3 linked regions of the Sus scrofa genome follow. The protein of the gene in region 1 purifies or fractionates together with the protein of each later gene. This does not show direct contact. Links are inferred from orthologs where the notes say so. Each region holds a gene or a part of one and is shown on either strand. Other genes may lie near its edges. The genes, in order: CLSPN, CDC45 and ATR.

The links.
Region 2: the proteins of CLSPN (region 1) and CDC45 purify together in Homo sapiens (affinity purification with western blotting; 4 studies listed by BioGRID and IntAct, with this or other methods). This does not show direct contact. The link is inferred for Sus scrofa from reciprocal best matches to the Homo sapiens genes CLSPN and CDC45.
Region 3: the proteins of CLSPN (region 1) and ATR purify together in Homo sapiens (affinity purification with western blotting; 3 studies listed by BioGRID). This does not show direct contact. The link is inferred for Sus scrofa from reciprocal best matches to the Homo sapiens genes CLSPN and ATR.

Annotation. Positions count from the first base shown.
Region 1 is NC_010448.4:91,920,766-91,925,112, forward strand, and holds part of CLSPN (claspin), read right to left. Parts: intron 1,550-4,347; coding exon 1,308-1,549; intron 423-1,307; coding exon 244-422; intron 1-243.
Region 2 is NC_010456.5:51,131,430-51,136,338, reverse strand, and holds the start of CDC45 (cell division control protein 45 homolog), read right to left. Parts: upstream 3,218-4,909; 5' UTR 2,803-3,217; coding exon 2,752-2,802; intron 2,622-2,751; coding exon 2,562-2,621; intron 1,903-2,561; coding exon 1,810-1,902; intron 179-1,809; coding exon 41-178; exon of another isoform or gene 1-40. Other genes in the region: UFD1 (ubiquitin fusion degradation protein 1 homolog), read left to right, coding at 3,662-3,664. UniProt on the Homo sapiens protein: Required for initiation of chromosomal DNA replication. Core component of CDC45-MCM-GINS (CMG) helicase, the molecular machine that unwinds template DNA during replication, and around which the replisome is built.
Region 3 is NC_010455.5:83,174,845-83,179,177, forward strand, and holds the end of ATR (serine/threonine-protein kinase ATR), read right to left. Parts: intron 2,941-4,333; coding exon 2,835-2,940; intron 1,213-2,834; coding exon 1,039-1,212; 3' UTR 671-1,038; downstream 1-670. UniProt on the Homo sapiens protein: Serine/threonine protein kinase which activates checkpoint signaling upon genotoxic stresses such as ionizing radiation (IR), ultraviolet light (UV), or DNA replication stalling, thereby acting as a DNA damage sensor.

The sequences.
Region 1 (4,347 bases):
AGCTGCTGGCCTACACCACGGCCAAAGCAACACCAGATCCGAGCCGAGTCTGCAACCTACACCAGAGCTCACAGCAACACCGGATCCTTAACCCAATGAGCAAGGCCAGGGATTGAACCTATGTCCTCATGGATGCTTGTCAGATGTTTCTGCTGAACCACAATGGGAACTCCCTGTTTCTGCTTCTTACTGGAGGGGCAAATACCAAGGAATCTTAATCTTTTCTTAGAGAGATTTACTTACTCCATCTTGGAAGAGCTGTCCTTAAATAAAAGGAAGGTAGAATCTGATGAGAGAGGCTTGGGAACAGAGAGAAGGCCAACTGACTTGTCATTTTCATCACTGCCATCATTGTTTTCTTTATCCATTTCTTTCTCATCTTTGGTTTCTGTTTCTTCACTATCGAGATGGAATTCTGCCATCTTTACCAAAACAAAATAATACAAGTCAAAAATTTTAAAAGCAAACACAGTTAGCCTGAAATATGCTGCTTGGTTACTAGTCATATCTTAAATCTGAAAAGGTTAACCTGAAGGAGGCTTGGTCTAACAATTGTCATTAATATAATTCTCCCTGGCACTTCTAGAGCTCTTTTATATCTATGTCATTTTACCTTTTACTCTCACCAAACCGTTACAAGATTATGAAAAAAGACTGGATTATAATTTTATTGTGTCAATGACAGGTTACATGATTAGCCTAAGACTGCAAGACAACAAATGACCTCAAACCAACCACAGACTGTAAAATCCTGCCCAACTCAGCCATGGCTTTTCTCTTCCCTTTACTTAGGGTTAAACATTAATCAGCTCTTTCAAATGATTCCAGCATTCTGACAAGGATGCTTTTCTGTTTTCTAATACTAAAAATCCTATCATTTGTCTTCTATAGGTGGAAAACAATACTATGGAAATAAAGGCAAGAGGTCCTTTTACAAATACTCTCCTTAATGAAGAAAGAAATTAACTCAGGAAGGTCTTAGCTTGAGAATACTCCAGACCTCAACCTAGCCAAGGTTAAAAGAGTCCTTTTTTATTCTGAATAGAGAAAACAAGGAAAAAAGTCTATTCATACGAAGTCATTTTGATATTAGCATTATATTACAATGTGTAAGCCAACACGTAGAAGCCAAGGCTCTGGCTCTGTGAAATGTATGCACTAAAATTTAGATACATATGAGCTACATTTATCTCTGCCCCTAAAATCTCATACAACTGAATGTGTTCACTATACTCTTACTCAAATCTTATTTTCTCCTTCTCTTATTTACCATGACCTAGTAACAAAATCACATAATTGCCAGAAACCTCCTGATTGCCTTCTTCCTCCTCTTCCTCTTCTTTCTCCTCTTCTTCCTCTAATGCTTCCTCTCCCTCCTCTTCTCCATCTTCCTCAGACTCATCTGTCATTTCTTCCTCCTCCTCCTCTTCTTCTTCAAATCCATCTTCATTATCTAACTTGAGTAATGCCTGGCGCTTCTGGCGTTCTTCAAACCTTCGGAGTTTCATTGCTTCTTGCAGTTTAGCTTTCAGCACCTGAAGCTTTTCCCCTGAAGAGAAATATGAAGAGATGCTTTAACTGTAATGACTGACTACACAGGACAACAATGCAAGTGAGTATTTTAAGCAATTCCAGAAGTATTCTAGACACATCCCAAAAGGAAAGTCGGTGACCTCTAGGCTTTTCTTTTATTTTTGTTTGTTTGTTTTTGTTTTTTTTAGGGCCACACTCGAAGCATATGGAGGTTCCCAGGCTAGGGGTCGAGTTGGAGCTGGAGCTGCAGCTGCTGGCCTATGGCACAGCCACGTCAACACCAGATCTAAGCTGCGTCTGTGAACTACACCGCAGCTCATGGCAACACTGAATCCTTAACCCACTGAGCAACGCCAGGGATCAAACCTGTGTCCTCATGGTTACTAGTCAGGTTCGTTACCACTGAGCCACAATGGGAACTCCTAGGCTTTTGTTATCTTAACAAATGGGGATTAGGAGTTCCTGTATGGCTCAGTGGGTTAAGGATCAAGCATTGGGGGTTGGATGGCTGCTGTGGTTCGGGTTTGATCCCTGGCCTGGGACCTTCCGCATACCATGGGTGTGGCCAAACAAAGAAATGGGGATTATTATGAACTGAGTGTAGAAGATCACTTCCAGAATTATGTTCTATACCTCGGGATAATATATTATAGAGATTATAAAATTATTACTACAAAGTGAGGGAAGAGTGAGACTTCAAAAGTCTCTGGCACAACAAGGACCTACTATTTAGCACACAGAACTATATTCAATACCTTGTAATAACCAGAAAAGAATCTGAAAAAAAAAATATATATATATATATTTATTAACTGAATCACTCTGCTATACACCTGAAACTAACACAACATTGTAAATCAACCATACTTCAATTAAAAAAAAAGTCTCTGGGGAGTTCCCTTCATGGCTCAGCAGTTAATGAACCCAACTAGGATCCATGAGGATGTAGGTTCAATCCCTGGCCTTGTTCAGTGGGCTAAGGATCCGGCATTGCCATGAGCTGTGGTGTAGGTTGCAGATGTGGCTCAGATCCTGAGTTACTATGGCTGTGGTGTAGGCCAGCAGCTGTAGCTCTGATTTGATCCATAACCTGGGAACTTCCATGTGTGGCCCTAAAAAGCAAAAAAAAAAAAAAAATTAAATTAAATTTTAAAAAGTCTCTGGCTCAGAAGCCACAAAGGAAAATACTGATAAATTATCTACATTAAAGAAAAAGAGAAACAACTCAAGAGTAAAATGGACAAAGGATGTGAACTGGTAGTTCACAGAAAAATTAACACATATTATTAATAAACAAATTAAAATTTCTTAACCTCACTTTTCATTAAAGAAATATAAATCTAGGGAGTTCCTGTCGTGGTACAGTGGTTAACGAATCCGACTAGGAACCATGAGGTTGCCGGTTCGGTCCCTGCCCTTGCTCAGTGGGTTGACGATCCGGCGTTGCCATGAACTGTGGTGTAGGTTGCAGACGCGGCTCGGATCCTGCGTTGCTGTGGCTCTGGCGTAGGGTGGCAGCTACAGCTCCGTTTAGACCCCTAGCCTGGGAACCTCCAAATGCTGCGGGAGCGGCCCAAGAAATAGCAAGAAGACAAAAAAAAAAAAAAAAAAAAAAAAAAAAAAGAAAAAAGAAATATAAATCTAAACAATGAGACACTATTTTTATACATATTTGGAAAAAATTAGGTTTGATAATATCCATTATTAACAGCAACTCTTATTACACACGGTGATTCAGAGTGTAAATTAATATAAGTACTTTGAAGGATAATGGGATGATATATATATATCAAAATGTGACTCATTGATTCCATTGTAAGGAATTTTGCCTCCAGAATTACCAACATATATCTAATACTAGGACACAACACTGTATGAAATTCCAAAAACTGGAACAAACAAGATGTCCATTAAGAGGAATACTGTTAAACGAATCATATTATATTTACACAATGGAATATTATGCAGCTCTTAGAAAAACGTCAAACACAATATGAGCAACTGAGCTCTTGAGTTAGGTGGTATGGATTAGGCTGCTAGTTCTACTATTTACTAGCTGTGTAAACCTGAGCAAGTTGTTTAAATGGTTTATCAGTTTCCTCATATATAAAATAAGGATACTAATGCTATTTCCTGTAAAACACCTAGAGGAATCCTAGCAGAAAGTGTTCAATCTCTCTCTTACACATACACACACACAATGATATGAATATGAAAATACATATGAATTTTCCTAGGACACAAATAACTGTTAACAGTTGCCTTCGGGAAGGCTAATTTTTCATTTTATACATTTCCCCTAAGTGTTTTAGTTTTTTTCTATGTAATATATTACTTGTACTTTCAAAGTGGGAGTGGGAACAACAGACCTGTCCATAATACACTGCTAAAACAAAAAAGCAGATTACAAAGCAGAATTCATGTATGGTCACGTTGTTGTTGTTTTGCTTTTAGGGCTGCACACTATATATATATGTACGTGTGTGTGTGTGTGTGTGTGTGTCTGTGTGTGTGTGTAGTCTTTTTAGGGCTGCACCCGAGACATATGAAGGTTGCTAGGCTAGGGATAGAACCAGAGCTACAGCTGCCAACCTATGCCACAGCCACGGCAACGTGGGATCCAAACTGCATCTGCAATGTATACCACAGCTCACGGCAACACTGGATCCTTTACCCAGAGCAAGGCCAGGGATTGAAACTGCGTCCTCATGGATGCTATTCAGATTTGTTTCCACTAAGCCAAGATGGGAACCCCCAGATATATATATTTTTTAAATAATAAGACAAAGGCTATTTTAAGAAATAAAGTCATCT
Region 2 (4,909 bases), on another chromosome or scaffold:
GACAGATGGATAGAACTCAGGGCCCCAAAGGCCTGCTTACCTGGGTATCATTGTACACGTTCACAACATTGACTGGCCTGTGAGTGTCACACACGAAAAATATGGTATCTTCATCGGGTTGAAGTATATCCAATAGGTCCACGTTAGCGCCACAGTTTATGAGGATGAAGTAATGGAACTGGAAAAAGAAGAGGGGCACCATGAGTGAGCGAGCACCTGGAGGAGCCTGTTTGTCTGCAGCATGAGGCCTGAGCCCTACTGAACGGCACCCAGCCTCTGCCAGCTGGCGAGGCCCCGATGACGAGGGGTCCATTGTGGCCGAGGCTGGCCTGTGCCAAGTGTTTAACAGCTCTGTGCGCTATTTCATTTCCACGACACTGTAAGGGGAGTCCTACGGTGTCCCTGCTTCAGTGAGGAGCAGACAGAGGCTGAGCATACTTGAGACTCACACATGGGGTGTAGAAGCTGAGGTGGACAGACCAAGAGGTCATATGTGTAACCGGGCCTCTCCTGACCTGACACTCTATTGTGATGAACTGCTTCTCCGTGCTAATTGTGTTGTATAGGCTTAAATTGCTAGCAATCCTTGCATAGCCCACAACTAACAAGCACCTAAATATTAAGCTAAGCCTTTTATTACATCCTGTCACTATAAAAAGTCCTTTCCTTGTAATGCTGAGTTGGTAGAGTTCCCTCCTGCGATGATAGGCGCTCCAGGTGAGGATGTATCTTGGCCAGAAACTCCAGTGACCCTCATGCACACTCCAGCCCCTCCTTGGGCAGCGGGGGGGGGGGGGGGTTGTGAGGTCGGAGACGTGCCCGCTCTCATCATGGCCCCATGCAGAGGTGGGAGGAGTCCCAGCCTTTACTGCTTACACTGCAAGGGAAAAGTTATGTTCCTAGATTCCCACCTGGAAACTGGGATTCATCTTCTTAGAAAGATAAACGTAAAACAGTACTCTAGTCTAAAATAATTTTTTTGTTTGTTTTTTGTCTTTTTTAGGGCCGTACTTGTGGCAGATAGAATCTCCCAGGCTAGGGTTTGAATCAGAGCTGCAGCTTCTGACCTATGCCACAGACACACCAGATCTGAGCTGCATCTGCAACCTATACCACAGCTCACAGCAACGCCAGATTTTTAACCCACTGAGCAGGGCCAGGGATCAAACCTGAGTTCTCATAGATACTAGTCAGATTCATTACCACTGAGCCACAGTGGGAACTCCCTAATCTAAAATAATTTTAACTAGGCCTTATCAAATCAACCTGCCAAATTCCAAACACCTTACAATGAAATGTGTCTTCTAATCAAAGTTAGAAGCCCTCCACATTCATTATCTCTTTTTCGTTGTTGACTTTGTCTCCACAATTTGAGGATAAGTCAAGTCACCCAGACATATAGCTCACTTTTCCATAGGGCCTAATCAAATTTCTAGTAAAAAATATACACAACACATTAGAGAAATAGAATGCTCAGTGCTAAGAAGTTGTAGTTGAGTTTTAAAAAGCCTACCATTCTCTCTCTCTCTCTTTTTTTTTTTTTTTGCTTTTTAGGGCCATTCCTGCGGCATATGGAGGTTCCTGGGCTGGGGGTTGAATGAAAGCTACGGCTGCCAGCCTACACCACAGCCAGAGCAATGCCAGATCCAAGCCATGTCTGTGACCTACACCACAGCTCACGGCAACACCGGATCCTTAACCCACTGAGCTAGGCCAGGGATCGAACCCACATCCTCGGGTTTGTTAACTGTTGAGCCACGAAGGGAACTCCCTAAAGAAGCCTACTATTCTCAAATGCATCTCTCATACCTGCTCTTTATGCTCAAGAAATGCAGTTTCAAGTTCTTGCCACCCAGAAACTGGAACCAGCGTATATGGCACGTGGTCACACTGGAACAGGGCCTGGAGAAAGAGTATTTTCAAAACCTATTAGGATGTCTGCAATCTACCTTGAAATGCACTTAAAAAAAAAAGAGTTGAAAGATAAAAACACCTGATAAAGTAAGGTTAGTAAAATGTTGATGATGGGCACACAAATGTTCACTGTACCATTCTGTCAACTTCGCTGAAAACCACTAAAGGAAAACACGGTTGGAAAGCTGACCTAGGTTTTCTGAGCGGATCCTGACCCAAGGGCCTAATCGAAGTTCATGGAAACACTACACTCTGTGCAGCGACCTTTTCTAACAAGAATCGTCATCTCCGGGACTGCTTATGACACCAGGGTGCCCGCAGCCCTCTGCCTCAAACCCCACAGAAAGAAGCCGCTACGGGTCTCAGGTCTCCCCGATGCAGCCTAGGTTACTGCAGACACACTAACTAGTCTCCTTGCTTTCTGCTTAGTTCTCCTCTAACCCACCCAACACTGTCCCGCCAGGGAAGAGCCCTCGCCCCAGGCCGAGCTCTCGCCCAGGAGGGGGTCCTTGCCCCGCCCCTCCCCTTGCCCTGTTCCCCCCTCCCTTTGCCCTGTCCCCCCTCCCCTTGCCCTGACCCCCACCCTTGCCCTGTCCCTCCCCTCCCTTGCCCTGTCCCCCGCCCGCCGGCCAGGTCTGCAGCCTCACCTGAAGGATCTTGCAAGCGCACAGAGCGTCCACGTCCGAGGCCACGAAGAGAAGGACCCTCTACCGGGGGGGAGGGGGGGAGCGAGTTTGCCGAGCGTTTATACACGAATCCCGGCCCCTCCCGCCCCCCACGGCCACACCCCCTCAGCCCTTCCCCGACAAGGCCTCGGGCGCCCAAGGCAGGGATCACCTGACTCTGGACCACCTCGTAGAATTCCTTGCGGAAATCGGACACGAACATGGCCACGGCGGCGGGATAGCCCGAACGCGCGCGGGGACCGAGAGCCCGGAAACCGTCAAGACTCCCGCCAAATCAGGGCTCTTTCGATTGGCCCAGGGACAAACCAGCGACCCTCGGCTCCCAGACTTTTCTCCTTTCTGATTGGCCTGTTTGGAGGGCGGGCACTAGCGCTCCGCCGTTCACGGCTGGAAGACTTCGGCCTGCCCCAAAGGGGCATCTGCCACAGGCTGGACGCGCTGGTGGTTGCGCATGTTAACGCTGACTCCGTTTAACTGGAAACCCGACGCTCGGTGTTTATCTTTACTTTGGGAAGAAAAGCCTACTGCCCCTCACTGAGACCTCTAGAAAAAAGAAACCTTCCCTCTGCAAATTAAATTCGTGTGTACATCAAAGAGTGCTTCCGTTTAGGATTTCAATTGGCTCGCGGCCTGGTTCAAGGGCGGAAGGGTGTCTTACTTCCGCCCGAGTCTTGGATGGCCGCGGCAGACGCCGGAGGTCTGCGTGCATTCTGGGTAACTTAAGCGGAAGGGGCGTTAATCCCATCAAACTCTTCTGGAGGGGGCACTGTCAAACTGCAGTTTAAAATAATCATGAAAGGTAGTCTAGAGTGCACATGTTAGGAAGGAAGGGGTATTTAAGCGCTCACTCAAGGAAACCTTGTACCCTGGCGCCTTTGCCTTTGTCCCTTGACCCAGCTGCGCCCTCCTCGCGCGCCTCTCCCGGAAGTGTAGGTGCGGTATTTCCGGTGAGTCCCGGATGTCCGCGCGAGGCGGCGGCGGTAGCGGCGGCTGTGAGGAGAAGTCGGCTTCCACCGCAACGTTCTTTGGCAAAGCGCACCTGCTAGGCCGAGGGGTCCACCATGGTGAGTGGCGGGGCAGGCTGGGGTCGGGGCCGGGGGCGGGGCGGGAGCTCGGCGAGCGAACGTGCAGCCGAGGAGGTGCCGACTCACCGGCCTGAGCCTTCCGCGGGCGCCTTCGCCCTCCGTTTCGAGGCTCTAGACCTGTGACGGCTTCCCTCAAACGAGCCCTGGATGGACTGGTAGGCTGAGGGGCAAGGGCGCGGGCGCTCGGGGCCCGTCCCCCAACTGAGCCCTGCCGGCTTGCGACGCCGCCACGCTGCCCGTGGCTCCCCTGGCCCTCTTACCTCTCAGTCCTGGGCCCCAGCGATGCCTCTGGAGGCGGGGGCGAGGTGTAGAGGCTGGGGGAGTGAGACTTGGAAGTCAGGCCTGGCTGTACCGCTGTTTGTCACCAGAGGGTCGCGCGTTTGCTTTGTCAAGAGTTTAAGCTGAGTGCGTCAGTGCCCAGTCCACCGAACAAGCGAGTATCCTCGTGCTCTGGGCTGAGCGCTCCGCGTCGGGATCATAAGGGGAAGGTTGAGGGCAGGTTGGGACCCGGTGTTCAACACCTTGTGTACGCGGTCCTTTTTGTGTTGCACCCAGAAGAAAGGGCTTAGAGGTGGGGTTCGAGTGACGAGGCGCCCACTCACCCAGAAGCAGAAGCGCCGTGTATTTGTTATGCCTCTGGCCATGATTTTGTTGAACTGAGTTCTGTTTTTTTTTTTTCCTCCCCCCTTTTTTTGTCTTTTTGTCTTTTCTAGGGCCGCTCCCGCGGCATATGGAGGTTCCCAGGCCAGGGGTCTGTTCGGAGCTGTAGTCTCTGGCATAGGCCACAGCCACAGCAACATGGGATCTGAGCTGCGTCTGCGACCTACACCACAGCTCACGGCAACGCTGGATCCTTAACCCACTGAGCAAGGCCAGGGGTTGAACCCACAACCTCATGGTTCCTAGTTGGATTTGTTAACCACTGAGCCACGACGGGAACTCCAGTTTGTACATTTTTAAGTGTAAAGTTTAGTGGTGTTAAGTACATTCACATTGTTGCATAGTAGATCTACAGAACTTTTTTATCTTGAAAAATTGAAACTCTGTCCCCATTAAACAATTCCTCTTCCCCCAGCCCCTGGCAACCACCACCACCATTTTTTTCCTCTCTGCGAATTTGACTTACTCTAAGTACCTCATGTAAATAGAATCACGCAGTATTTGTCCTTTTGTGTTTGGCCTATTACACTGAGCAGAATGTCCTCAGAGTTCATTACCGTTAGA
Region 3 (4,333 bases), on another chromosome or scaffold:
AGGGGAAATTGTTTTTTCTTCGCGCATTGTAAACCTACAGCAGAGTTTCTTTTAAAATTTTTCTAAGTTATTTGCCAAAAACAATTTAACTCTCTTCCACCCCCACCCAGCTTCCTACTTCACTCTTAATATTGGGCCTTTGATAGGAAAGTAATGTTTAGTTTTCACATTTATACTTCTTGGGTTACTATATTTTCCCCATCACACTTACAGCTCTAACAAAAGGCAGCATTCTATGTGAATTTAAGTGAAATTATCTTTGTTATAAAAAGCTCTCCATTTATTTGTATGTAATAACCTGCTTTGTAATTATTATGAATTATTTAAAATCTTCTGCAATAGTAGCCCCCAAATTTAATGACATTAAAAAGTTCTTAGATTTTAGAATCGCATGAAATTTTAAGTATTGCTATTTCTCAAAACCACTGAATTCTGCATTCCAGTACACTTTTGGCATGGCAGCATCTTCAAGATTACAGAATATTTATATAGTTTTGATATTCACGCAAATTGGCTAATGTGTTTTTTTTCCTCCACCACATTTTCAACTATACAAAAAAAAAAAACAGTTTTATTAAGTGAGCCTAAGGATGTGCTATTTATACCTCTCTAACTAGACAGTTACCAGAGAGCAAGGAACCTAGCTCTGTGCATAAATATACCATAGTGCTTTGTCTACAGTATTTATTGAATATAATTTTTTGCTGTTCAGATGAATCCTTATCCTAGTACTTAAAATCAGTGAAAGTTGTAAAATGAAATTAGGCTGGCTTGTTTCTTGCAAATACATCTTTTCAGAGCATAAGAACATATGATATTCCATTTCTCTGGTTGGTTATAATACACACTACATATTAAGAAAGCAGTTTATTTCTTAACATATATTATTTTAAATATTATTAACAATCAGGGAGAAATATCAGTTACTCTGAGAACATAAACATATGTTGTACTTTAGAAGTGAATAGATAGAACCACAAATTAATACCAAATACATTACATTTAGATTATTAACAGAGTCTTTGGAGTAATTCCATTTCACATATATGGGGTCCAACCAAGGTACATTTGGCATAGTAAGTTTTCATCAGTAGCTTCTTGTATAAGATAATGCACATGTCCTTCGATAGATAATGGCAACCCTGTCACTCTATTTCGGGTCTTGATTACACCTTGCAGTCGCTGCTCGATGTCAAGTACATGGGTCTTAGCCTAAAAAGAAATTGAAAATCATAAGGATTAGGACTTAATGATATATGGATGTTTATGAACTGGAATTACTGCCTTTCTGTGATTTAATAAATGTCAATGCTATTTTACTGATCATTACCCCTTTTGTAAGAGCAAATACAGACAAAAGAGAAGAAATGAAGCAAATACAATAACTTGAGATACTGATTTCTGAGGCTTACAATGTTAATCTAACATAAACTGTTTGGACATTTTTCAGGACTATGTGAAATAGCAGGGAATCTCTTACACATTAGAAATCTAGAAAAATAATAATATAAAAAAATCTACCCTGAAAAGTGTTTAGGGCTTAAACATTTGAGCAGGTTAGGAACCCAACATAATGTCTGTTAGGATGCCTGTTTGATCCTTGGTCATGCTCAGTGGGTTAATGACCCCGCATTGTCACAAGCTGTTGTGTAGGTTGCAGATATGGCTTTCGACCCCTAGCCTGGGAACTTCCACATACCACAGGTGCAGCCCCTGCCCCAAATAGTAATATTCTAGGGAGTTTCCATCATGGCTCAGTGGTTAATGAACCTGACTAGTATACATGAGGATGCAGGTTTGATCCCTGGCCTTGCTCAGTGGGTTAAGGATCTGGTGTTGCTGTGAGCTGTGATGTAGGTTGCAGACATCGTTCAGATCCTGTGTTGCTGTGGTGGTGGCGTAGGCTGGCAGCTACAGCTCCGATTTGACCCCTAGCCTGGGAACCTCATATGTTGCAGGTGTGGCCCTAAAAAAACAAAACAACAACAACAACAAAAATCTAATAATAGCAACAATACTCTAATCCCTAATATTTACATTATATTAGTACATGCAAATGGGAGTTCTAAGTGAGCTACTTGGAATTCTACAAATTTCTTTCAATCAAGAAATTATATCAGAATGCAAAAATGAGAATGATATTAGAAAAACATTCCTCAATATATTCTAACTTATTTGAAATAACTATCTACAAAATTTGAGGCTTCAATTAATATAGTCTGGTCTCTGCATCTAGGATTCAACTGACCACAGACTGAAAATAAGGATAAAAGTTATCCAAGAAAGGAAAACTTGAATTTCCTATGCATGGGCAACTATTTACTTAGCATTTACACTGTATTTACAACTATTTACATGACATTTACATTGCACTAGGTATTATAAGTAATCCAGAGATAATTTAAAGTGTATGGGATGATATACACAGGTTATATGCAGATACTATGCCATTTTATTTAAGGGACTTGTGCATCCCAGGATTTTGGCATACACAGAGGGTGGGGCCTATCCACCATGGAAACCAAGGGATGAAGGACTTCTATGTTAATAAAGTGTGGATTCCACATATTGAAGCCAAGATTTGCTACTCTATAAATTCAAGCAATTTGTGTTTTTCCTGCTCCATTTCATAAGCAAGTTGCGAACTCTTTTTATTATACAAATGATGATAATGTTAACATCAGTATAGACAGTAAAGAAAACTTGTTGCACTGTTATACTAGAGAACTAGATTTCAGAGCATTCAATGGGCAGTCAATAACAGTATTTAGAATCAATTCCCATTTGCAGAGATATACAAATATATCAGCTCATACTGAGCTACACCTACTAACCTTTTCATTGACAACTTCCCCCGTTTCATTCAGTGTTGCTTTGGAATGCCCTTTCACTGGTTTACTCCATTCCACTAAAGGATCATGTAGAAAAGTCTTTAAGACACTAAAAGAAACAAATATTATGGTAATAATACAATGTTATCTTTGTAAAAAGAACTCTAAAGTCAACATTTAGGTGAAGAGCAAGTGAAAGATGAGAAGCTAATGGTAATACTCTTAAAAAACACATTACTAAGTCAGAAGATGCTCTATTTCCTCTTTCAGAGAATTTGCTTTTGCCTATGTCTAACTAACCAATGTATTCTACCATAATGCCTCATAGACAGATTTTAAATAAAAAAGTGAATAAATGAGCTTTAAATGTCCTTTTAAAAAACTACTTCTCACAGCTAACATCGTATTGAATGGTGAAAGAGCAACTTCTTTGCCGCTAAGATTAGGAAAAGACAAGGATACAGACATCTCACCATGTCTATTTGACATTGATTTAGCTAGGGCAATTAGGCCAGAAAATGAAAAAGCATTGTGATTAGACTGGACTGACTGGAAAGAAGTACAACTATATCTACAGAAGACCTGCTTTTACAGAAAGAAAATCTTAAGGTATCTATAAAAATAACTATTACAAGTAATAAATGAGTTAAGTAAGGTTGCAGGATACAAGATCAATATAAAAATTTAGTTATATTTCTGTACACTAGCAATGAACAACCTAAACATGAAATTAAGAAAGTCTCATTTAGAATAGCATTAAAAGGAATAAAATACTTAGGAACACTGCTTTAAAAAGTTAAATACAAGATTTGCAAACTAATAACTATAAAACGTTGAACAAAATTGAAGATGACTTAAATAAATGGAAAGATCCCATGTTCATGGATTAGAAGATTTAATATTTTTAAGATGGCAATACTCCCTAAATTGATTTACAGATCCAGTGCCATTCCTATCAAAATCCAGGCCGGCTTATTGCAGAAATTTACAAAATGATCTTAAAATGCAATGGAAATGCAAGAGCCTCGTAGCAGCCAAATAATCTTGAAAAAGAAGAAAAAGTTGGAATATTCACAGTTCTGATTTCAAAACTTCCTACAAAGTTACAGTTATCAAGACAATGTGTTGTTGGCATAAGGTTAGACATAAAGATTAATGTCTAAAACCGAGAATCCAGAAATAAACAAATATATGGTCAACTGATTTACAACAAAAGTGCTAAGACAATTAGATAGAGAAAAACAATCTTTTCAAAAAAATCGTGCTGGGACAACTAAATATACACATTTAAAATACAGACCCCTATCTCACTCTAGGTATACAAAATGACTGAATGATCAAAGATCTAAATAAGAGATAAAACTATAAAACACTTAAAACATACATGTAACTCTTCATGACTTTGGATTATGCAATAGTATCTTAGATACGACACCAAAAGCACAAATGACAACAACGACAAAAGTAGACAAATTGGATTTCATCAAAAGTAAAAACTTTTA